7 linked regions of the Oryctolagus cuniculus genome follow. The main gene of each other region encodes a partner of the protein of the gene in region 2 in a complex. Links are inferred from orthologs where the notes say so. Each region holds a gene or a part of one and is shown on either strand. Other genes may lie near its edges.

What was found.
Region 1: RUVBL2 (region 2) and ASDURF share a complex: the UniProt entries of both Homo sapiens proteins name them as parts of the PAQosome complex. The link is inferred for Oryctolagus cuniculus from reciprocal best matches to the Homo sapiens genes RUVBL2 and ASDURF.
Region 3: RUVBL2 (region 2) and BRD8 share a complex: the UniProt entries of both Homo sapiens proteins name them as parts of the nuA4-related complex. The link is inferred for Oryctolagus cuniculus from reciprocal best matches to the Homo sapiens genes RUVBL2 and BRD8.
Region 4: RUVBL2 (region 2) and EPC1 share a complex: the UniProt entries of both Homo sapiens proteins name them as parts of the nuA4-related complex. The link is inferred for Oryctolagus cuniculus from reciprocal best matches to the Homo sapiens genes RUVBL2 and EPC1.
Region 5: RUVBL2 (region 2) and UXT share a complex: the UniProt entries of both Homo sapiens proteins name them as parts of the PAQosome complex. The link is inferred for Oryctolagus cuniculus from reciprocal best matches to the Homo sapiens genes RUVBL2 and UXT.
Region 6: RUVBL2 (region 2) and PFDN6 share a complex: the UniProt entries of both Homo sapiens proteins name them as parts of the PAQosome complex. The link is inferred for Oryctolagus cuniculus from reciprocal best matches to the Homo sapiens genes RUVBL2 and PFDN6.
Region 7: RUVBL2 (region 2) and ING3 share a complex: the UniProt entries of both Homo sapiens proteins name them as parts of the SWR1-like complex. The link is inferred for Oryctolagus cuniculus from reciprocal best matches to the Homo sapiens genes RUVBL2 and ING3.

What each region holds. Positions count from the first base shown.
Region 1 is NC_091434.1:50,691,753-50,695,952, reverse strand, and holds the start of ASDURF (ASNSD1 upstream open reading frame protein), read left to right. Parts: upstream 1-1,400; 5' UTR 1,401-1,598; coding exon 1,599-1,688; intron 1,689-3,143; coding exon 3,144-3,197; intron 3,198-4,200.
Region 2 is NC_091449.1:8,259,068-8,261,925, forward strand, and holds part of RUVBL2 (ruvB-like 2), read right to left. Parts: intron 1,720-2,858; coding exon 1,613-1,719; intron 1,508-1,612; coding exon 1,414-1,507; intron 1,204-1,413; coding exon 1,080-1,203; intron 924-1,079; coding exon 829-923; intron 754-828; coding exon 635-753; intron 1-634. UniProt on the Homo sapiens protein: Possesses single-stranded DNA-stimulated ATPase and ATP-dependent DNA helicase (5' to 3') activity; hexamerization is thought to be critical for ATP hydrolysis and adjacent subunits in the ring-like structure contribute to the ATPase activity.
Region 3 is NC_091437.1:25,976,058-25,979,557, forward strand, and holds part of BRD8 (bromodomain-containing protein 8), read right to left. Parts: intron 3,327-3,500; coding exon 3,280-3,326; intron 2,525-3,279; coding exon 2,310-2,524; intron 1,056-2,309; coding exon 963-1,055; intron 776-962; coding exon 707-775; intron 179-706; coding exon 1-178. UniProt on the Homo sapiens protein: May act as a coactivator during transcriptional activation by hormone-activated nuclear receptors (NR). Isoform 2 stimulates transcriptional activation by AR/DHTR, ESR1/NR3A1, RXRA/NR2B1 and THRB/ERBA2.
Region 4 is NC_091444.1:102,680,675-102,684,174, forward strand, and holds part of EPC1 (enhancer of polycomb homolog 1), read right to left. Parts: intron 2,546-3,500; coding exon 2,386-2,545; intron 659-2,385; coding exon 482-658; intron 101-481; coding exon 11-100; intron 1-10. UniProt on the Homo sapiens protein: Component of the NuA4 histone acetyltransferase (HAT) complex, a multiprotein complex involved in transcriptional activation of select genes principally by acetylation of nucleosomal histones H4 and H2A.
Region 5 is NC_091453.1:33,158,954-33,161,735, reverse strand, and holds the end of UXT (protein UXT), read left to right. Parts: intron 1-1,881; coding exon of another isoform or gene 1,882-1,945; intron 1,946-2,140; coding exon 2,141-2,267; 3' UTR 2,268-2,282; downstream 2,283-2,782. UniProt on the Homo sapiens protein: Involved in gene transcription regulation. Acts in concert with the corepressor URI1 to regulate androgen receptor AR-mediated transcription. Together with URI1, associates with chromatin to the NKX3-1 promoter region.
Region 6 is NC_091436.1:135,834,645-135,837,753, forward strand, and holds PFDN6 (prefoldin subunit 6), read right to left. Parts: upstream 1,663-3,109; 5' UTR 1,405-1,662; coding exon 1,341-1,404; intron 1,140-1,340; coding exon 1,069-1,139; intron 989-1,068; coding exon 864-988; intron 693-863; coding exon 563-692; 3' UTR 501-562; downstream 1-500. Other genes in the region: WDR46 (WD repeat-containing protein 46), read left to right, coding at 2,062-2,130, 2,227-2,439, 2,552-2,632, 2,783-2,895, 3,015-3,102. UniProt on the Homo sapiens protein: Binds specifically to cytosolic chaperonin (c-CPN) and transfers target proteins to it. Binds to nascent polypeptide chain and promotes folding in an environment in which there are many competing pathways for nonnative proteins.
Region 7 is NC_091434.1:156,936,687-156,940,646, reverse strand, and holds the start of ING3 (inhibitor of growth protein 3), read right to left. Parts: upstream 2,801-3,960; 5' UTR 2,602-2,800; coding exon 2,574-2,601; intron 2,325-2,573; coding exon 2,253-2,324; exon of another isoform or gene 1,530-2,252; intron 1-1,529. UniProt on the Homo sapiens protein: Component of the NuA4 histone acetyltransferase (HAT) complex which is involved in transcriptional activation of select genes principally by acetylation of nucleosomal histones H4 and H2A.

The sequences.
Region 1 (4,200 bases), on a different chromosome or scaffold from region 2:
CCTGCCTCTCTGTAATTCTGCCTTTCAAATAAATAAATAAATCTTTATAAAAAATACCCATTCTATGGCAAATAAAAACAGGGGCCTGCGCCGTGGCTCACTTGGTTAATCCTCTGCCTCGCAGCGCCGGCATCCCATATGGACACCAGATTCTGTCCCAGTTGCTCCTCTTCCAGTCCAGCTCTCTGCTGTGGCCTGGGAGGGCAGTGGAGGATGGCCCAAGTGCTTGGGCTCCTGCACCCTCATGGGAGACCAGGAAGAAGGCTCCTGGCTTCGGATTGGCACACCACCGGCCATGGTGGCCATTTGGGGAGTTAACCAACAGAAGAAGGACCTTTTCTCTGTCTCTCTCACTGTCTATAATTCTACCTGTCAAAGAAATTAAAAAAAAATAAAGAAGCCTGTTCTAAATTTCAGATAGACAGATACATGGAGAAACATAAAAATTTACCAGTCCAGACCTCATATAACTTTTCTTACTAGAAGACCCGATGAAAGATATGCTAGGGCTTAAAAAAAGCCACCAAGTACATCTATTAAGTCACACAATTTGTCTACATCTCATAAGTGCACTTAAGCATCTCCATAGAACATCGTGATTCCCAACACTGGAATATAATTTTCAAATATGTGGTCTCATATGCAAATATAAAATAAACACATATCATGGTTTTATTTAACTCATTAGTAAATGAGGAAACCAGTCAGATATGAAAATCAATTCAAAGAGCATTTGAAAAGCAAGGAATTTATCAGTCAAGAAATGTCAGACAGGACCTCAGTGTTACATACATAACTGATTAATGTCTTCCAGATAATAAATCATAACCTTGGAAGTATCTTATTGACCTAGTAGAAATTATTAGCATTTTTACCAGTCAAAAATCCACACGTTTGCCTCTGCTTTTGTCCCCTGCCTGCACCAGGTTGTAAAACAGTTCAGTTCATTGAAAGTCAATCCTAGAACAGCACTGAAAGAACATCAGGTAATCTCTTGCCTATTTCCAACTTTTGGTCATTTTTTTTTTTGCAAGAATGAGACATTACAAATATTGCATAGGATGTACACTAATAAAAGTATTCATTCACCTGAAATTCGTATAAAATTGTATTTAGCTGAAAACCCTAGTTACAAATTAACAAAAACTTTTCCAATTCTGTAGGGTTCGGTTGCCAACATTGTGTCTATGAAATCTGTGCTTTAGTTCAGGATCTGACTGGTTAATAACTAATTGGTGTTTCTACTGCGCGTCTGTTCTTTATTTGCACCAATAGGGGGCGCGTGTAACTTGTAGTCCAAGAGCCCACAAAAGTGTTTCTACCTCCGATCCGCTGGGGGTCGGCGTATGAATTGCTTAGATTTCGCAACCGGGCTCGAAACACTGGCGCTCTAGGCATTTGTGCGCATGCGTAGAACCGCTCTTGGCGAGGGGGCGGGGGCGTCAGGCCCGGACTGCGCAGGCGTTGGAGTGAGCGCGCGGAGGAGGTTGGTGAGACCTCTGCAAGGCAGGTGACGCTGCCGGCGCTGTGGCTGGGGCGGTCGGTGGTGGGACTCTCGGGAGCTCTGGTGAATCCTGCGTGTCTGCGGCTGGTTGGAGATGCCCGGCCGGGGCGTGCACCCGGAGGACAGCGCTGTGCCGGTCCCCGCCGGCGGCCGGACCTTACACAAGGAGGATCTTTGCAACAAGGTGGGCGTGGGACGCAGCGAGCAGGCCTCCCGGGCTTAGGACCCGGCGCCTGGGGCAACCCAGAGAGGGCCGGCCGCGAGCAGCGCGGGGCTTCGCTGGAGACGGCCTCGGCTTGCGCTGCTCTGCTGTTGGTAGCAGTCGGCACTTCCCCTTCCCTGGAAGTAGTCGCGCTAAGCGTCTTGTGGGCTGAGTTTCCGCGGCCCTTCCAGATCTGTAGCTCACCCCTTCCGTTACCCCTGCCAGCGGCATGGGCTCATCCTTGACGTCGGTCTACACCTGAAACCCACTTCCGGTACGAGTGTGACTTTAGTCCCGAGGACGCACGCTCCTGCGTCCCTGAACGAGCCGCCCTCATCGGCTGCCCCGGACCCCCGCAAAGGGCTCCCTAGCCCACCTGCTGCCTTCTCTGTTCCCCGCTGTAGCCGCAGTGGCCGCCCTAAACCTCGCACATCTGATTGTCACTCATCTGCGGAGAAAGAGGGGGAGGGGAGCCACTCTGATACTGACCTGAACTGCCGGAAACAGGTGCAACCTTTAAACGTGTGGAGGAGGGAGTTCAATGTCCTGCATTCTTCACTGGTTCTGCTCCAAGCTAGTAGTGGTGTCTTGGACAGACCTCTCTGTTCTCTCTGCATCACAGCTTCCTTCTTTGGTGGGAAGTGAAATACAGACCTGACATCCCTAAACTGCACAAGAAAGCACTGTGGTACAAGCGTTAAGTCTCAAAGAGGGGGAGGGTATAGTTTCAACCTTGGAAGTCAGCCTTATCCTGTCCCTTCTGCAGCTGTGTCAGCTCTGGAGACAACAAGGGGGAGACTCATGGGGCAGGGAGTGAATTTGCAAAATACAGCCCACTCTGCTGCCGACCTATGGCAGATCCCTCAAGTGTGTGGTGCAGTGTAAAAATCTTACATCTGGTTTTAGAGGCGCTGGTGATGTTAGGTAATAGATCGTGTTCATAAAATAGCCAGTTACTAGAAAGTATCAGAAAGTTTGCACTTACTTGAGTTCTCTCCTGAAATTGAAAAGTGAAGCCAGCACTGTGCAAAGAAGATTGATGCCAAGACAGGGGGATTTAGAACTACTTGGTTAAAAGGACTGTCTAGCCGCACCATTTAGTACACAAATCGTCAGAGACTGGTATTACTTCTGGTGCATATCGTCTGTTTGTATAGGCCTTGTTCAGTAACTGTGGCCACAGGCATGAAGGCCGGTTGCCAACATCAAACCCACTGGCTGGGCTCCGTGGGTTGTGTGACATTTAGATGTCTAATGCCCATTTCCCCCTCCACCTGTGCACACATAGACTGGAAAGAATCTTCTCAGACTGCCCATTTGGACAATCAGCGCATGATACCTTCTTACGCCATCTGCCTAATTTTAAAGCCGTCATCTAATTGAACATGTTTTTAAGAGTTAAAATTCTGTTTTAAGCGTTTCTCTTTATTTCAGTAGATTAAAGAACAAAAAGTCGTTGTGGATGAACTTTCTAACCTGAAGAAGAACAGGGTGAGTTATAGAAATTCTGAATAGTATGTGGGAAGCTTGGTTATATTTATATTATATAAAATCATAAAAGTTGTATGGAAGGTTTATATAAAGGTTGACAAGTTTTCGGCATCTCTTTAAATTGCAAAAGCCCAGTGCCTACGTTTATTTTAAACTGTACGTACATAGATCTCATAAAGCTGAAGATGTCTCTTCCTTTTCATATGCCATTTACACGACCTTTAAAGCTAATGACGCAGATTGGATTTTGGTATCTTCAAGCTGTACCACTAATGTAACTATTTTATGCTTGAATTTGGTGTGTATTTTTGAAATAAATGAACTTAAAGTTTATTGAGAAGAAACTATCCCTTAAAGTAAATGTTGAACAAAAAATTACTTCTCTCACCGCCCCCCCAAAATCTTCTCAGTGCTTAGCATTATTTTTAAATGCAATTTCTGTGTATATATTCATAAGCAAGCCATCTTTGTTGCTTCATGTGTAGTTATACATTAAACTACATTAAAATTACATTTTAATGTTCAGGAGTAAATGACTTTGAGCTCTTTCAAGCGCCTAAAGATTATAACTGACAGATTAGACATTTCTGATATTGTTGCCAGCTACAAAGATGTCCATCACAACACTGATCTATAATACTTGAGGGACAGTAATACCTTAAATGTCTAACATTTGAGGATTGAGCAAATAAATGTAGTATGTCATACGATGATATTATAAAGGAATACATATTGATAAGAAAAAGTGTTCTTGATATAGTCATTGTAAAACTATAGATGATAGTAGAAGCCTTTTTTATTAAAATAACAGTGGTATTATGGTTTACAAGGGAAAAAAACAAGTTTCACCTCACTGGTAATGATAATAGTGTCTGGGTGGCAGGATGGTTGGTAACTTTTATTTGTCTCTTTGTTATCTGTATTTACTAAAGTAAATTCCCAAAGTTTACAAGTATGTAGTAGTAGGATTCAAAGATTTGACATCTTTTTAGATCATATCTTG
Region 2 (2,858 bases):
TGAAGCTGGCGGAGACGACCGCGCCCTGCGGGGCTTCTTTTGAGGGTCCAGGAAGGTCTTCCAGGAACAGTGTCAGACAAAAGCCAGGCAAAACTGCCCAGCGCCCCGCCTGGCCGGGCCCAGTTCCCGGCTCACTGATGGCCCCCTGCTGCACAGTGACGGCTCAGCGTCCCAGCAGGGCGGGGCCCGGTGGGAGCGCTGGTGCAGGCTCCACATCCCAGGCAATGCGGGCTCCTGGCCCTCCCCCTCCTCACAGGCTGATGGCTGACGCGTGTGCAGGGGTGGGGCACGGAGGCCACACCCAGGGCACAGGTTCCCGGGACTCATCAGGGCACGGTGCCGGTCAGATGCCAGGGATTTTGCCAGGGCAGCTTGAGGCCACGATCACACAGAGGACGCGCTGCCCAGGCAGCCGGGGCTCAGTGGTTTGTGCGGGGTCGGACAGAGGTCACTGTGCTTCCCTCAGGATTAAGACGTCCACAGCACCCCCGAGAGCTTCCTGGGGCCGGGGCGAGCTGCCTACACCCAGTCACCCACCTGCCTTGCTCCAGGGAAAGGCACGGCTTCCTGTCGGAGCCAGCAGTGCTGGGAGCCCGCAGCCCACGGGGCCCCACGTGACCCCGTGCCAGCTCACCGGGTGATCCCACGGTTGGTGGCCATGATGAGCACAGGCGCCATGTCGCTCTCCAGGGCGCGGTTGAGGAAGGAGAAGCTCTCGATGTCCAGCATGTGGACCTCATCGATGAACAGCACCTGGGGCGCGGGGGCTCGAGTTCAAGGGCACGCCCTCCCGGCCAGGCCCCCCGCCCCTCCCGCCCCGGTGCTCACCCCAGGGATGATCTCCGCCTTGCCCTCCTCCCGCCACTCGGCCACCTTGGCGTTGATCTGCTCGCGGACTTCTGACTTGATCTCCCCGGTGTCACCTGCAGGAGCCAGGGCGGCGTCGGGGAGTCAGGGAGGCGACGAGGCCGAGACCGCAGGGTGGGCACAGAGGAAGCAGATCCCAGCGGCGGCGAGCTGGGTCTCCGCCATGTCCCCAGGCCGGGGGGAGTCGGGGGCTGCCCGGCCTGGACCCTCACCTGAGAAGAGAGCCAGGAAGCCCTGGGTGCGGGAGTTGATGACGTCGATCTCGTGCAGGGACACGGTGTGCACGACCTCCTTGCGTTTCTGGAGCTCCCCATCTGGGCACTGCACGAACTTGGTCTGGGGGGTCAGAGAGTGGTCGTTCAGAAACCCCAGGCCCAGGAGGGGAGGTCAAGCCAAGGGGCACGCAAGGGCACTCAGAGTGAGGGGCAGCGTCCCGGGTTACAAGACCCAGGAGCACAGGGACAGGAGGACCCAGGCCCTGTGGTCACAGAGGCGACAGAACATCCAACGGCCGGGGTCGAGGGTGTCCCCAGCGTCCTGGCGCACCTGGGAGCCCATGGCGTCGTAGTCCCGAGCGCGTGTGAAGGAGCGGCCCAGCTTGGAGATCTTGCCCGTGGCCTTGTCGATGGTGATCACGTCCCTGTGGGTGGGGAGGGAGGGCGGAGGAAGAATGGAGGGGGGTCTGAGTCCCTGCCGCCCAGGCCACCCGGGCCACCCAGGCCACCTGCACAGCCTGCCTGCTCACCCGGCCTGGACCTTGTCCTTGGTCAAGGACTCGATCATCTTGGTGCCCAGGTCGTAGATGGTCTCCATCTCTGTGGTCTTGAGGGTCAGCTTGCCCACCTTGGAGCCCTGTGAGGGGAGATGAGCCAGGAAGGGGCTCAGAGAGGGCCCGGTGCTGCCCAAGGCTCCCCGATGAGCCTGCAGCCCTGTGCCGGCCTCTGCTGACACAGCTCAGAACAGGCGACACGGGGAGTTCCTGGGGGTGAGGGGTCTGTTCCCCGCCACAGCACAGGCCAGCGCCGGCCACGGTGCACACTCTCAGCCTGTGCAGAGTTCTACCTGTCCGTCACAGAGCTGTTCACACTCACACCTCAAAGAGCCTGTTAAGAGAGGGGCCAGCACTGTGGCATAGTGGGTTAAGCCTCCGCCTGTGACACTGGCATCCCTTATTGGTACAGGTTTGAGTCCCAGCTGCTCCACTTCTGATCCAGCTCCCCACTGATGGCCTGGGAAAGCAGTGGAAGATGGTCCCTGTACTCATGTGGGCGACCTGGATGAAGCTCTTGGCTCCTGGCTTCAGCCTGACCAAGCCCCAACCATTGCAGCCATCTGGAGAGTGAACCAGCAGATTAAAGATTCTCTTTCCCTAACACTACCTTTCAAATAATTAAATCTGAAAGGTCCCACAAACTGGCCAGCAGGGTCACACTCCAACGTTCCTCTTTTATACCCATGTTAAAAAATTGGGAAAACCCAGCTAAGCAGAAACAAGGAGACACAACTTCCAGGCCCCACCCTGCGAGACAAGCACAGTTCACGTTTCTCAGTTACATCCCCAGTAGCGGATCCTGACCGGGCCTGCCGGGGGGACACAGCCAGGGATTTCCTGTGTGGCAAAGCATATAACTTAAATAAGTACCTTGGGAAGAGCTTGCCCCCAATTTAAATATTTTACCACATGTTTAAAATTCAAAACTTAGTTGCCAAGAGATGGAACTAATTTAGAAGGCCATTTTTCAATCTATTTGCACTAACAACAAGCAGAAAACAGAAAAACAAGAGGGGCGTCAGGGGAGGGGGGTCAGCCGCATTCTATCAGTGGCTCTGACACACACAGAAGAACCTCCAAAACGCCACACAGAGCGAAAGGAGACGCCGAAGGCCCCCCGCTGGGGTCCCACTGACGTGCAAGGACCAGAACCCACCAGCCAGGGGCTCCGGGGAGGGGACAAGCAGCAGGGCCTGCCTGGTGGGGTCAGGGTTTCCTT
Region 3 (3,500 bases), on a different chromosome or scaffold from region 2:
CTGGATCTGTTCCAATACATCTCGCTGCATCTCCACTGCCATGTGATAGACATCGTGGTCTGAGCTATTGTACATCACAGCATTCTGAAACATCAGCATAATGTCACGCTGAAATTCAGCTGTGCTGCGAATCAGTCCATTTTCAATGTTTTTCTTAATAGTTGATAAATCCATAGGCCTAAAAAAATGAAGAGGAGTAAAGAGCAGCAGAAGTGGGAAAAGGACTCACCTGATCTCTGAATAAATGATAAACATGATAATACATGATAAACTTTCTTACATATACCTTATTCCTTCATTATTAGCTGCTAGGACACAAATGCCAAGCCCCCACTCCAAAACATGCACTTAAGACAGAGAGAGAAATCTTGCATCCACTGGTTCACTCCACAATTGCCCACAACAGCTGGGGACAGCCCAGGCCAATGCCAGGAGCCAGGAACTCCACCCAGGTCTCCCACATGGATGGCAAGAGTCCAAGTACGTGGGCCATCATCCACTGCCTCCCAGGTGCATCAGCAGTAAGCTGGATTGGAAGCGGAAGAATGGGACTCAAACCAGCACTGCAATATGCGCGATACGGGTGTCTCAAGCAGCAGTTTAACAGACTATGCCACAACATCTACCTTTGTACTTAGATCTAAAGTAAAAATTCACTAAGACTGGACAATTTATAATTCAGGCAAGTCAGCAGAGCATGGCTTACCTCTGTACAATGCTGTGATAACCAGGTGCTATGTCATCTGTAACAGGCTGTAAGAAGACATTCGCATATCTGTCCGAAAATAATTAACATGCAATTACTAAACAGATGCACATGGGAAGGAACTTAGATCAAGTAGCTAAAGGTAGGTAGAGACACCACCAACAGTCCCACAGAAGCCTACTTAGACTGCTTTCTTTTCATCTACAAAGAGGAGGACCAGGAGGGAATGAACCTACTGATGGGTAAAGCCACTCACCTATGATTAGCTGCCGCTCTCCACACAAGCATGATGGCTTTCTTCCATATTTTCTGTGCCTGAATAGCTTCTTGATCCTCACTACAGACAGAACTGAAATAGACACACAGATCAGTAGGCAAGGTGAAAGAAAAAAAAGCCCTAATTATTTCATGTCAGTTATTTCTTCCAGGCCAAGAATAGGAAGATGAGAAAATAAGATTAAAGAAAAGGGGGCTGGCATGTGGCATAGCAGGTTAAGCTACCACCTGCAACACTGGCAACCATATGGGTGCCAGTTCGAGTCTTGGCTACTCCACTGCTGAGCCTGGTAATGCTCCAGGGAGGGAAAGCAGCAAATGGCCCAAGTACTTGGGCCCCTGCACCCATGTGGGAGACTGGGATGAAGTTACTGGCACCTGGATTCAGCCTGGCTCAGCCCCACCTGTTGCCACATTTGGGAAGTTAACCAGAGGATCAAAGATATCTCTCTCCCTCTATCACTCCGCCTTTCTTTTCTTTTCTTTTCTTTTCTTTTTTTTTTTTGACAGGCAGATTCGACAGTGAGAGAGAGAGAGAGACGGAGAAAAAGGTCTTCCTTTGCCGTTGGTTCACCCTCCAATGGCCGCCGCAGCCGGCGCACCGCACTGATCCAAAGCCAGGAGCCACGTGCTTCTCCTGGTCTCCCATGGGGTGCAGGGCCCAAGCACTTGGGCCATCCTCCACTGCACTCCCGGGCCACAGCAGAGAGCTGGCCTGGAAGAGGGGCAACCGGGACAGAATCCAGCACCCCGACCGGGACTAGAACCTGGTGTGCTGGCGCCGCAAGGCGGAGGATTAGCCTAGTGAGCTGCGGCGCTGGCCAAAAATCTTTTCTTTAGTCTTACTGTTTTTTTATTTTATTTTATTTTATTGATTTGAAAGGCGGAGTGGCCGGCGCTGCGGCTCACTAGGCTAATCCTCCGCCTTGCGGCGCCGGCACACCAGGTTCTAGTCCCAGTCGAGGCGCCGGATTCTGTCCCGGTTGCCCCTCTTCCAGGCCAGCTCTCTGCTGTGGCCAGGGAGTGCAGTGGAGGATGGCCCAAGTGCTTGGGCCCTGCACCCCATGGGAGACCAGGATAGGTACCTGGCTCCTGCCATCGGATCAGTGCAGTGCGCCGGCCACAGCACGCCGGCCGCGGCGGCCATTGGAGGGTGAACCAATGGCAAAAAGAAGACCTTTCTCTCTGTCTCTCTCTCCCACTGTCCACTCTGCCTGTCAAAAAAAAAATTAAAAAATAAAAATTAAAAAAGAAATAAAGGAAAGATTTTCTCCTACTTCTCACCTTGACTGCCTTGGACTCAAACAAAGAAATCTCTAATACTCACAACTGTGAAGAAGCAGGGCTGCTGGGGATGGAGTCGGCCAGTGTATGTGACTGCAGTGTAGCATTGTGTATGCTAAAGCCATCATCACTCTCGCTCACAGGGGGTTCATTATCCATTTCTGACAAATAGCCTTCTCCTTGATCTTCTTCCTTAGGCTCCTCTAGGCTGGCTGCTTCACTGACCCCATCTTCTTCCTCATCCTCACCTGGGGCATCCTTAGACACAGTGTGCTCCGGTCAACAAATGCACGTAAAGCTATCCAGCAAAGCATCATTAAACATGGTCTGTCTTTTGGGTTAGATCAACTCTAGAAATGGCCTCACACTTTGAGCCCTCTATCACTCATACTACCATCTACTTAGCAGACACTGACTAAATAAAGTAATCTAGAACCTGGACAAAGAATAAAATCCAGGATCTTTTTAAAAGGAAGAAAAAAAAAAAGCTACTTACTTAAGACTAAGCTAAGAGGCGTTCCTTCTTTCCCCTTGCTCTTGAGAGGAACTCTGACCCTGGGTACAAAGTTATCAAAAATAGTTTTTACTTCGTGTCTCATTTGATGGAGCAAGCTCACATCGCATTACTTCAAATCTTTTTTATTACTGCTCTAGTAACTCTAAAATAAAAACTTCAGATGATTCTCTTTGAATAGTCTAAAAAAATCTGATTTTCTATAGTTTCTTCCTGGCTCTAGTATTCCTATTGACTCCAAATCACTTGGGGTGCATCAGAGCTTCTTTGTATACTTCATGCCAAGAAAATAACCATGTAATGTTCAGATGGGTAGCACGTGCAGTAATTATATGTACTCCCATATGCCTGACTGTCCACTACAGCTTTTCCCCATGCAACTCCTTACCAGTCTCATCTCAGAGAATAAAGCTGTGAGTTTACTGAAATTCATTAAAAAAGGGAGTGCTATAGGGAAATCTATCACATGGCAAGAGGAATAAAGAAAAATCTGAAATACCTTTATCTGGCTTCCAAAAATAGCCCCTGATTCTTCTTTCAATGAGTCTGCAGAGGAGAGAAAGACTACCTGAAGATTTTTCCACCTTAGCCTTCCCCTACTATGGACCGTAATCCCCTGCAGCTCTCCTTTCCATGCTGACCTATTCTACTTCCTGTACTTGCCCACAACCCACAATCCCTTAGAAGCCAAAGCAAATGATTTCAAGTTAGTCACAGAGT
Region 4 (3,500 bases), on a different chromosome or scaffold from region 2:
CAACACTTACAGCATAGTACTGACAGCCTGCTTTCCTACGGAAAGCAAAGGGACCATCGGGATCATTCTCTTCCTCAGCTTCCGAAGAGCCGGACAAAACCTTTGAGTACAACAAAAGAAGTAGGTCAAACGTGTGACTTCCTACATTCTTCCTCTATTTTTATAGAGAGACACTCTTTTCTCAAAAATTTTTACTTATTTGTTGATTTGAAAGGCACACACACAGAGTATCTTCCACCCCAGTTACTGTCCAAATGCCAGCAACAGCAGTGCTGGACCAGGCTGCAGCCAGGAGCCTGGATCTTAACCTAGGTCTTCCATGTGGATTGCAGGGACACAACTACTTGAGCTATTACCTGCTGCCTCTTAAGGTCCGCATTAGCGGGAAACTGGATCACAGCAGAGCAGGTACATGGATGGGGGATGTGGGCACCCCCTAACCCACTACACAATGCCCACCCTGAGAAGGTCTTGTATTTACCTGGGAGAGAGGTTCTTCATCTGAGCTGGGAAAGTCATACTGATTTAAATCTTTAGCATTAAAGACTGGCAGTGCAGCAGGACTCGTCTGTTGAGGAGTAGCAGCAGCAGACGACGGTAAGACTTTGGGCTTCTTTTCGTATTTCCGTTTCGGTCGGATAAGATCGGCTTTATCTTGCTACAACAAGGACACGAAAGTGATTAAAGACACTAGAAACCATGTTCAACAAACCTGCTGCTCTTTGGGAAATTTTAAAAAGCAGCTTATTTGTATAATGAAGACAGTTCTATTCAAAGGAGACACAGACTTTTACTTCTGGCCATCTAAACATAGTCCTATAAATTATTTTGATTCCATTAAAGTAAGATGAGAACAGAAGTTCTCCAGCTCCTACAATTAACATTTATAACATTTATACTGTGAAAATTATAGGAGAAAATAGTAATAAAACATCTAGTCCTTACTTCTCAACACTTAATCTCAAGAAACAACAAATTAGTGCAGGGAAAATCATAATGAAAACAATGTGACACACAAAGTGGTGAACTGTACATGACTGTTAATACGGTGTGCAGAGTAAAGCCGTTGAACACCGAGGGGCCATAAAAACAAAAAGGAAGGATTTGCTAACCGAACAAAGAAGGCTTTGTGGAGTGGTGAATTTTGAGCAATTTTTGAGGATAAAGATATAAAATTATTATACTGGGAGAAAAGCAGGACAAAGAATAGGTGAGTTATGAAGTCAGCTCACAGGAGAAATGCATGTGGCAGACAATGCTAAGTTAGAAGTATGGATCTCATGTGTGGACAACAGGTAGTGAGTGTAGATGCAAAATGGTATTTACTGGGGAGAAAAAGATAATGGCAAATAGCACAGGTAAGAAACTGTGCAAAATATTTGTGTTAAGTTTTATGGAATTTAAAAGTTTGATCTTACTTAATCTGGGATGCAATTACTTAAACTACTATAAAAACTACCAAGAAAACCAAAACAGCTTCAATTAATGATTCTATCTTAATCTGGAAGAATTTAAACTAATACATGTTCAAGGGCTCGGGCCCAGCTTTCTCACATATTCAGAAAGGATAGAATCGCATAGTTAGGAGTGCAGTCATGAAATCTAAACCCTGAAGGACAACACAGAAATAGCGTGCAAAGTTACACAAGATTCAGACTGGGGGACCAGACTTAAAATACTACACTAGTGTTTAAAAAGTGTATTTAGGAGTAGTAAATTGAAAAGGCAGGCAGAAAAAAATCTGATCAATACAGCATTTCAGTGTGTCCATGGGGGATAAATTTAAATGCGCATGAAAAAACAGATTTTTCTCCCTCAGACCCACATTTTCCCAAGAAGGTACCACTTAATTGCCTTTCTTAATTTCCCTCCACTAATTTTATTTCTCCTCATCAATTTTATTCTTTACATACTGCCAAGTATTTGGTTAAGTATTAATGTGTCACATATTTCCATTTCTAATCCATTATCTCTGTTACACATTTAAAGAGATACCTGAATTCCTTCTTCTATCTTGCCTTCCACTTACACACTGATGTATCTCACACACAAAAGAACATCACAAACTCATCCTATCAGCAAGGATTTCCTGTCCTTCTCTCTAAACTTCTATATTTTGTTTGAATTATTTTAATATTTCATAATCCTATAGTTAGTAAAATACTTCTCTTATCAACTATAGTAACAAAGTCATCCTTTTATATAAGATAAGGAAATAACAAAAACAAAAATTTATTTTAAACTTTCAGTTTCTTTTCATAATATGCCATAATCATTAAGGTTCTACTTCATGGTATGGCTTATGTATTTTTCTCCTTTATTTTCCTACTACTAATAAAATCCCATCCCACTGTCAGATACTATCATCACAAAAACATTATTCACCTTATTAACTTTAAACTCTTTCACATCCATTACTTCCTGGTGTTTAAACTGACTGCTGTTGGTAATAGGGATGATAGGGATGGCATAAGTGGGTTTCAGTGGCTGTCTCTGTGCCATAACCTCAGACATGATCTCACCGTTGTAGTCACCCAAATTATACCTGAAATTATAAAAAAGAAAACTCAAAACTGTATAATACATTCAAGGGGCACAAAGTGATGGTTTGATAAAACATGGATTATAAAATGATTACTGCAATCAAGCTAATTAACATATTCATCACCTCAGTTACTTGAGGGGGTATTACATAAAATCTACTCTTAGCAAATTTCAAGTATGTAGGATATTATAATTAACCATACTGCACATCTGGTCTCCAGACCTTGTTCAGTTTATAACTTCAAATCTGTATACTCCAATTAATGAACGATGCATAACTGTTGTCAATTATACCTAAATAAAGTTAGGGAAAAGGCTAAAAACTGACTTCTGTAAGTTCTTATCCCATACCTGACTGGGATATACTTATAAACATCAATTAGACTTAAAGTAGCATTATAGTTAAACTATTTGCTGGATATCTCTTAAAATGAAAGATTGCTAATTCCTTTTGTTTCTTCTTTCTATATTTTTGGCTTGCTAGCTTGACCTCTGCAAGTAATAGATGACTATGGGAAAAAAACAAAGGTTGGAATGTTAACAGCAATTCTGGTGACAGATTTGGTGGAAAAGCTGAAATTATTGCCTAATGGTGCTGAGGAACTTTCTGCTTATTAGAATTGCCTCTACAATGAAACTCATTTTTCAGAAAGGAAGCACAAAAAGTTACTTTCTTTGAAGAGAGGCACTGAAAATAAAGCAGTGAGGCTTGACGTTTCCACCATCTATCGTGCAGCATGGTTATTTGAATAACATTTATGGGTTCTTTTCCTTCTCTTTAAGTCTAGTACTGGGTTGTGGGTGCCAGAATTCAATTTCAGCTCCTGACTCCAGTTCTCACCAAAGTAGACCCTGGGAGAAAGTGGCAATGGCTCAAATAATTGGGTTTCTCCTACCCATGTGAGACCTGGGTCGAGGTCCCAGTTCCAGGCTTTGGCTTAGGGCCCTGGCACTTC
Region 5 (2,782 bases), on a different chromosome or scaffold from region 2:
CTGGAGGGGAAGATCAAGAGCTCAATCTGAGGCCTGTTAAGTATGAAGTGCTTAGTGAACACTGAAGTCGATTTTTGAAAAGGTTTTATTTGAGAGGTAGAGTTACAGAGAGGGAGAGACAGAGAGAGAGGCCTTCCATCCGTTGGTTCACTCCCCAGATGGACGTAACGTCTGGAGCTGCACCTTTCTGAAGCCAGGAGCCAGGAGTTTCCTCTAGATCTCTCTCATGGGTGCAGCAGCCCAAGCACTTGGGCCATCTTCCACTGCTTTCCCAGGCCATAGCAGAGAGCTGGATCAGAAGAGGAGCAGCCGGCACATGAACTGGCGCCCATATGGGATGCTGGTGCCACATGCAGAGGCTTAGCCTACTACACCACAGGGTGGGCCCCAGAAGTCGATTTTTTGAAGATAGAGTTAAAACTCCCAAGTCCGGTTCAGGAAAGGTCTGGGCTGGAAATACAAAGTGTGCGAAGTATTGGCATATAGATGAGTTCATCCTATTTTTTCCAGTGTAACAGCCTATCTTGTTACTATGTACTTTAATTCAGTACTTAGATTCATTTTCCCCTCAAACTGACTGCACCATTGACAGCATAATAAAATCCACATTTCTCATAATAAGAAGACCCTGCATGATCTAGCCCTTCCTACCTTTTTGGACTTTATCTTATACCACTTTCTTTCACTGTTCACTTAATTTCTAAGTTTCTGATCTCCTGGCTGTTCCTTAAAAAACTCTTTCCTGCCTCTGGGCCCTTTTGCTGCTTAACTCTTTCTCAGTCAGTTCCTTCTCATTCTTTGTATCAGTGAGGATTATTTCAGGAGGGACTTGATCCAAATTGGCTCACACAAAAGGAATTTACTATTTTATGTATCCCAGCAGTCCGGAGCCAGGGTGGTTTAGGCACTTCTAGATTCAGGGTGCCTAGGCCTTAGCATCTTCCTAGCGTCCTATCTCACACCCAACAGCTGACCCTTTGGTAAATCCTGTAGGCTCTACTTCCAAAATGCACCCTAAATCCAGTCATTTCTCAGCCACTGTGGTCTGATCCTCCATGGCTCACCTGGACTATTGCCATAGCCACCTCACTGGACTTCCAGCTTCCACACTACTCTCCTTATCCCTAGTCACTCTACACAGCATCCAAATGGATCCTCTGTGACCCAACTCAGTTCACCTCCCTCCTCTGCTCACAGCCCTCCCCTGGCATCCAGCTCACTTAGCAGAAAAGCCAGGCTCTTTAACATGGCCTTGTAGGTTTACACAGCCTGCCTCCCACTCCCTGCACCCACCCCCTTACCTCCCTGACCTCAGCTCTTCTAGTACCTCTCACTTACTCTTCTCCAGCCACAATGCCCTATTAGCTGTGACTCAAACATGCCAGGCACACTCCCACCTCAACACCTTTGTATTTGCTGCTACTTGTGTGTGGAACACCGTGCAGCCTTCATATAGCACTATTTGCTTCTTTACAGCTTCACTCAAATGCTTCTCAATGGAGCTGTCCCTAGGCACTGTATTAAAAATGGCAGCTCCCACTCCCATACTACTTTCCCTCCATCACTGCTTCCTTTTTTCATTATACTTAGAACCATCTGACATACCATATATTTTAGTCCATCATTTATTTGTCTCTAAGAATTTGAGCCCCGTGTAGGCAGGATTTTTGTATGTTGTGTTTGCTGCTATCTCCCCAGTGCCTAAAACTGGCATACATTAGACATTTGGTAATCCTTGGATCAGGTCCAGACTGTGGTCAGGCATCTCTGCACAGCAGATGGGTGGAAGTCATCCCAGATGTAGGTAGTTCTTGAAGTGATGAGGAAGGGTCATCTTCATAAGTGGGGCCCACTTTGCACATTCTCGTTTCTTTTCTCCAGGCTCAGCAACAGCCTCACCAAGGACTCCATGACTATCAAGGCCCATATCCACATGTTGCTAGAGGTGAGAGCAGCTCACTCCACTCCCAGCCTCTATGTCCAGATGTGGTTAGGGTGATGACCTAAAGAAGGGAGAGAGCCGACGAAGGAAAGGACCATCTTTCCTTCTAAACTGGATCCAAGGGCGGGGAGGTCAGAGCAAGCCTGAGGTGGGGCCTGGACCCGTCCCTTGTTAAATCCTTTCTGTCCTTTTTTTCAGGGGCTTAGAGAACTACAAGGCCTGCAGAATTTCCCAGAGAAGCCTCACCATTGACTACTTACCGCATCCTCCGACATTAAAGATCCTGAATGCCTTTGAGTCACATGGCCCTTCTTTTTCCCCCTAACTCCTGCGGGTTGCCAAGGCACCCTGTTTCCAGAGTCCAGCATTAATTGGAAGATCTAGTTTCTCTATGGATCCTTTAAAGCACCCTGGAAGTCCTGCCTCCGGCCTATTGCCTGGCAGCATTTGCTACTTGACTTTAGGCTCTGCCCTCTGTCACCATGGCAACCTCACACACACACACCCTTCCTTGCATTCCTTTTACTGGCTATCGCCCTTTGAATTGCCATGGAGAATGGACAGGTTCAGGGTGGAGGTTTGTTCCCATGGCAATCAGCCTTTCACTCCTAGCCCTAAGGTTTAACCCTTCTCCCAAATCCCAATCGTTCCTCAGGTACCATCAATTACACCCACGCCAGGCTCAGCCCAACCTTGGCCTCTGCTTCCAGTTTCCACCAATAGGCGCAGAGCCAAATTCTGCCCTCCCTGGTCCAGCCCCCCAGTCAGCACAGAGCCAGGTTCCGCCCCCTTAATAACTCTAGCCACAGCTTGACCCTGTCTTTTCTGTGAGCACTTAGT
Region 6 (3,109 bases), on a different chromosome or scaffold from region 2:
GTTATTTTGGTACAGAAGCTTTGGAGTCATGCATGTGATGGGTCTTCAAAGAGTACATGGAAAATGCATGATTCAAAATGTCTTGCATGGAAATATTTTTATTGAGAAGCAGAGTCAAAAGCCCCCACCTGCTGTAACCCAACCTTTTATTTCCATTTTCCCATGAGCCCTACGGAGCACTTGTATTCACAGCAAGGGGAGGAGTCACATTTCATCCTGGGTTCTCAGAGAATTCTGAGTTCTTCAATTTAAACGACACTCCCAACAATATGCTTAGGTTGTAAATGTCCTTGTGTTTCCTAAAAGGCCGTGTCTTAGGAAAATAACGGAGAATTAAGGGCTGTACATACGAGTACAGGTGAGGAGCAGCTTTGAGACATTTTAGAGTTTAGTTCCAGAGACTGCAGGTGCTGGAATGTGGGCTTGAGGGAGTAACAGTGGTGTGTGGTGTGTGGGTCAGGTGATGGAGGCCGGGGGAACAGACAAGCAGGACAACAGAGCCAGGTGTTTACATTTTATTAGGTACTTAGAGTGGCCCATCCCACCCCGCCCCGCCCCGAGGTCAGGCCTTCCCGGGAGCCCCTGCCTTGGCCGCCTGGGCCCGCTGGAACTCCTGCTGCAGCTGGGCCAGGGTCTCCCTCTGCTGCTCTGACTGCCGTTCCAGGTCCCGGAGCTGGGATTCGTATCGCTTACTGAGGAGAGGCCAGGGGCCAGAGAAGACAGGGAGAAGTTAGAGGGACTTGCTAGGGGGAGGGGCAGGCCGCGTTAAAAGGGGAGGCTTCCGTGGGCTGCTCCGAAGGGCAATCCACTCAGGTCCCCAGCACCCGCCGGCCGACAGCCAGGGCAGTGGGACAAAAACTCACATTTCAGCTGTGATGTAGTCCAGCCTCTTCCCCACCGTGGCCCGCGCCTCCCCCAGCTCCTGCTTAACCAGCACCGGCCCCAGCAGTTTAAAGACCACGTTGGACCCGTCCAGCAGAGCCAGTTCCTGGTGGGCGAGCGGGACGGGTCTGATCAGAACCGCAGCCGGTCCAGGCTGCTCCGCCCCCACAACTCCCGGCCCCTCACCTCCTTCACGATGTTGTTTTCCGTTAGTTGGGCTTCAAGCTTCTGCCTCCCTGACATGGATTTACTCAAGTCTAGGGAGGAAGGGAGACGTGAGTGGGACACCAAGAGTGCCACGGGCTCCCACAGTCCTGGCCCAGAAGGCGGATGTGAGGAAGCAGACCGGGAAGAAGGGGCGAGTATACAGGCGGGGAAGGAGCGGGCCGGCTGGGGCGGAGAGCTCGTTTCGGCTAGTCTGCGGGCTGCGGCGAGACTACGCCCACCCGGTCCCTTACCCTTCTGTAGCTGTTGATACTTCTCCACTTCTCCCTGCAGCTTCTTCTGGATCAGCTCGGCCATGGCGGGGATGAAAGCCTGCGGGAACGGGAGAGGGGCGCTGGGGTCGAGCTCCCCTTTCTGGTCGGGCCGACGGAAATGACAGTCCTCTTGAGAGGCAGTCCTTCGGGGCACCGCGGCCTCTCCCTGTCCGGGAAGTCGAATCGACCCGACCCCAGTGGGTGCAGGACGAAAAGAAACGCAAAACCCCTGAAACGGTACCCTAACCTACTCACGTTCTCCCTTCTGTATTAATCAACCCGGAAGTAAACATGGAATGCTGGGAAAATCAATCCGGAAGTTGCCTCCAGGTTGCATGTCGGGAAATGTAGTTCTAACATTTTTAATAAGCGGCATTCGGCTGAAATGACTGGACTCAGAAGGTTTTAGGCAAGACAGAGAAGTTAATCCGGAAAAAGACTATTCTGTTACTGGTTTCTGGCCCGGACTTGACTTTTTTTCCCCATTCCTCGGGTATAAGCTGCGGCGCCCGAGGGAGATGCCACAGCACGCCCCGCCCCTTAAAGGAGAGTGTGCCCTCACTCAAGATGGCGTGCTCAAGACTTCAGCCCTGGAACGATGCTGATTGGCTGAGGCGGAACAGAGGACTTCCGGGAGAGTCTAAGCCGACTGTGGGACAGCTGAGAGATTTGCACGTGGATCGTTGTTCCAGTGGGCGAGATGGAGACAGTCCCAAAGGCCAGTCAGGATGCCCCACCCAAGAAGGACAAACCTCAGGCCAAGAGGAAGGTACAGGCTTCTCTGGACGGGCAGGGAGGTTTTAGCTGTGGGGTTCGGGGGCGGGACGTGGGCCGCGGAGTTCCAGGGCTCCTGATCTGCCCGTAGAAACCGCGGCGATACTGGGAAGTGGACACCACTCCGAGCGCCACCGGCGCCTCTCCAGGCCCGCCTCCTAAGAAGAAGCGGAACCGGGAGCTCCGGCCCCAGAGACCAAAGAACACTCAGGTCACAAAGAAGTCGCGCATCTCCAAGAAGACCCTGGTCGCGAGGAAGTCTCGAGGGCCGAAGAAGCCGGAGCCCCAGCGGAGCTTGTCTGGGGTGAGCCTGCACCGCGGCAGGGTGGCGGGGGCAGGTTTCTCTGTGCTTTGCGAGTGAAAGGGTTGGGGGGTCAGCCCGAAGCTGTGAGCTGACTGCCTCCTCTCTGCCCCAGGCCCAGGACCCCTTCCCGGGCCCCGCCCCCGTCCCGGTGGAGGCAGCCCGGAAGTTCCGTCGCATTGACAAATCTAAAAAGGTGAGAATCGCTGGACGGTGGGGAAGGACTGGAGGCTGGGAGCGCCTGGGTGAGAAGGATGGAGGTGGGGCCCGGTGGCTCTGCTGTGATTCTCCGTGTTCTCCCTCCGCTCCTCCTCCTCCTCCTCCTCCACTCCCAACGCTGTTGTAGCTGCCGCCTTCCAAGTCCAAGACGCGCAGCAGACTTGAGGCAGCTGAAGCTGAGGAAGAGGAAACCAGCGTCCAAGCTGCCCGCTCAGAGTTGCTGCTTGCTGAGGAGCCTGGGTGAGTGGACCCCGACCTGGCCCTGCCGGCCCTCGTCTCGCGGGATTTCCCTGCCTCGTTTTATGTTGGTGTGCCCACTTCATAGAGGGAGCTTTACTGCAGTATGGACGCTCTTCCAGGTTCCTGGAAGGGGAGGATGGGGAAGACACAGCAAAGATCCGCCAGGCTGACATTGTGGAGGCCGTGGACATCGCAAGTGCAGCCAAGGTGAGGC
Region 7 (3,960 bases), on a different chromosome or scaffold from region 2:
ATCTGACAATAAACACTGTTCCACTTGACCAATAACTTGAGTATGTTATGCTTCAGTTACATAAATACATAATGCTCACTTAACTTAATCTTTAAAAGTTACACATTTCCCTACTACTTATTTATGTTGTTTTTTAATTTTTTCCAATAATTAAACTAGGATTAACAAAGTGGATCAGAGCTAAACCACAGTTTTTGAAGAGTACAGCCTCAGGGGGTTGGGACACAGTCAATGGCTAGCGGTATTTAATCAACTGAATGTGCCCAACCACAGTTACTCACAGAGACCACCACTAAAATATCCTCACATGGCTTTTCATAAGAAAATCAGTAAAAAGTTTTTAACAACTGGCTCAATGGCACTAAGCATTCCATCATTTCATATCAAAGCTGAAAGCAGTAAGTACAACCATTTAGCACTTCATACACGATATTATTTATTCTAAGTAAGTTTTTCCTGAAGTATATGCCTAGAATAATGAATAGTTTTTCCCAAAAAGAGGAAAAATAAAAAGATTTCCATTGCTAATTAGGTTGAGGAAAATCTCTGTACTATACTCATCTTTTGGAGATTGCCAGTGCATAATCAGCTTTTTAAAGATTGAGAAGTCCCATGGTTAATTTATAAAAAAGTATTTTCCTTTGGGGTGCTGTGACATAGTAGAGTAAGCCTCTCCCTGCAGCACTGGCATCCCATATGGGCACCGGTTCCTGTTCTGGCTGCTCCTCTTCTGGTCCAGTTCCCTGCTAATGATCTGCGTGGGAGACCTGGAAGAAGTTCCCAGCTCCTGGCTTCAGATCTGCTCAGCTCCGGCCGTTGAGGCCATTTGGCGAGTGAACAAATGGACGGAAGACTTCTTTGTGTTTCTCCCTCTCTGTCTGTAACTCTTTTAAATAAATAAATAAATAAAATTTTTAAAAAAGTATTTTCCTTTAAGCATTCCCTAACTTACGTGACATATGGTCATTTTTGTTAATTCATAATACCTATTAACTTTAAAGAATTCTACTTATTGTTAAAAAAATGCTAGTTTAAAAAAACTTGTAGTTTGTACAAGCTAAGTTCAAATTAAGAGAATTTAAAATGTGTAACTGCAATGAAAATGTTTATAACAGAGCCACCCTTTCTTTAACACCTACTTTGTATCAGATATCATACATTCTAACTTATCTGTATTATTTTTAATTCTCATTGGATTCTCTTATTACAGTCAATGGAAACTTCTCAAAAGTGGTAATGCAGTCGATCGAGGTCAATGAGTCTACTGATAAAGCTATAAAATAAACGCAGATCTGCCCGACATCGAAGTCCACACTCCGTCCTACACAGAACTCTACTCAGCGTGTCACTGGCCTTTCACTACACTGCAGTTCAAACGCATGTTGTCAGCCAGCTGCAGAATCGTGCTTCTCACTTCCTGCCACGCTACAATCTAACCAACAGAAAAAAAGGTGGCTTTTGTGCCACATTCCCACTTGTTACGTGCTACATAAAACTGTGCAGAAGCTGAGAAAAGCAGAATCATGAACCTTTGGGTAGAGAATCCTAGGTGGTCACCAAGTAGACACACGGAGTGGATTGCGAAAGAAAGGTTCTTCAGCCACCTCGGGTAGTCTCTGGGCCACCTACTTAAGAGTCCTTGTCTGAGAAAAAGTCACCAGACTCGCAAGCCGTCACTGGAGGACAGGGAAGCCCGCTGCCAATTATTACCACTGACCAGCCTGGCAGCAACATCTTATCTCCCGCTCATTCTGCCTGGAAAAGAGGATCGAGCCCACAACTCCAAGCTTATCCTATAACGTGTGATGACACTCCAGGTTTGCCGGGATCTCTGAGGATCTACTCCTAAGCCGGGCTCTTGGACGTTTCGGAATGAACTCGAACAGAAGTACAAACAGATGCTGAAATCCAAGTTCGATCCATAAAGGCGCTGGTCAAAATCTCAGCATTTACGGGATCATCGCTAACCCACACCCGGTATTACCCTCATGAGGATATAAAACATTTTTTTTTTTTTGCACAGTCCCATTTCGAGGAAGCAATACATATACTCTAATGCCTTCTTATTTCGTCACAGGAAAAAAAATAATAATAAATGGAGCGTGGGAAGAAAAAAAAAAAAACCAGGCGCGATTTGGCCCTGCCAGCTCTTCTCCACAACTTAGGTGCCCGCGGAGCGCCGCGCAGGAGCGGCGGCAAGCAAGCCCGGCTCGGAACGCGCGCGGCGGACGCGGGCAAACGTGCCGACTTACTCTGCACCTGCAGATCCATCTCGCGCATCTCCGTGAAGCGGTCCCGCAGGTCCATTGGAAGCTGCTCAATCACTGTCAAACAAGAGTCCGTCAGAAGGGCGGGGCCCACAGCGAGCGTACGCGCCTGCGTCACTGCGTGCGTGCGTGCGTGCGTCGGGGGGGGTCGAGGGAGCGGGCAGCCCACAACGAGGCTGCCAGTTACCGTGAGAGAGAAACATCCCCCGCCTCCCCCTCCCTCCCGCCATCCCGCCTGCCCGTCCACTCGCGCTCTCGCCCGACCGCAGGTCCCACGGGCGGCCCCCGCCGGCGCCGCGCACTCACTTTCCAGATAGTCCTCTAGGTACAACATCGCGGCCCTTAGAGCTGGGGGAGCGAAGGGGTCCAGGGGTTTATTTGTGTCACTCGCTGTCGCCGGAGTTTTGTCCCTTCCAATATGGCGCCTCCGCTAGCAGCACCCGCTCGACTCCGGCGAAAAAAAAAAAAAACAAAAAAAAAAAAACCACTTTGGGCGCCTGACGGCGCTTGCCTCATTGCCGCCCGGCGCTGTCATTGGCTGGCTGCCGCAGTGACGTAGGCCGGCCAGGGCCTGCCCGAGCGCCTTTGTGGGAAGTGTAGTTTCTGTTCCTTCTGAGGCAGGGCGGCCGTGCCGCCCGTTCTGTGAGGGAAAACTACGGACACCAGGCGCCATTGCGAGCGGTGCGCGGAGGGCTCCGAAATGCGGTGCCTCTGTTTATTTGTTGATTTTGGCACAGGGGATGACGGGACTTGTATGCGCCGGCATCAGACAACTAGGAACAACTTTTCACCTGTTCTTTGCTGCGGTTCCATGCCCGGCGTTTGTGAGTCATGGGTTTCGCCTGGTGCTGGGCACACAAGCAGAGGTTCTAAACGCTAGCGTGATCAGCGAAGTTCGGGCGATTCCCATTGTTGCAGACAGAATTCGGTGCTTCAGTGTTGACCGCCGAAAATATAAGGGGGGAGGGAGGGACGTCTGCTTGACTCCATGTAGCCTTCAAATAGTTTATCAAACTGTGGCGTGTATGTGCACTCCCCGGATGAAAGGTGCTGGAATAGTCATCAGCGCCAGTTTAGACGAGAGTGGTTTGTTTCTTGTTTTTTTTTTTTTGTTGTTGTTTTTTTTTGTTTTTTCGGTCCAGCTCATCGTCATTGTCATCCTCATGTAATCTGTACATACAACCTATACCTGCAGCAACAACCAAAAAAAAAAAAAAAAAAAAAAAAAAAACCCTGAGCAGTCATAAGTAGCGGGTGGAGCCTTGATGTCTAATGAGCTGAACCAGCAATTTAGATTATGTTGAGTAAGTAGCATGTGTTAGAAGTCCTGGGCGTTGTCTTCCCCTACTTTTGGATTTCTCCCTGCCAATATTGACCGGTGATATATGTTAAGTGTGCATTGCTGAATTTATTTTAAAATGTTTTTCCTCAGGAGACTCTTACTCTAAGTGTTAGGTGGTGGTGTTTCCCATCTTTCTTAACTCTCTCCGTTTTTCAGGGAACAGTGTCGTCAGTGTGAGTGTTCTCCGTAGCCGCTCCTCTGCTCAGGGCTTTTCCACTGGTCTTAAGCAGGATGCTTGACTGTCCTGTTGATACGTCTCAATGGAAACTTACCTGGTCCTATTAAGAATTAACGTAGTTAATTTTACACACTTGAAGCTAAAATCTAGCACCTTCACTCTTCCTCCTTTCC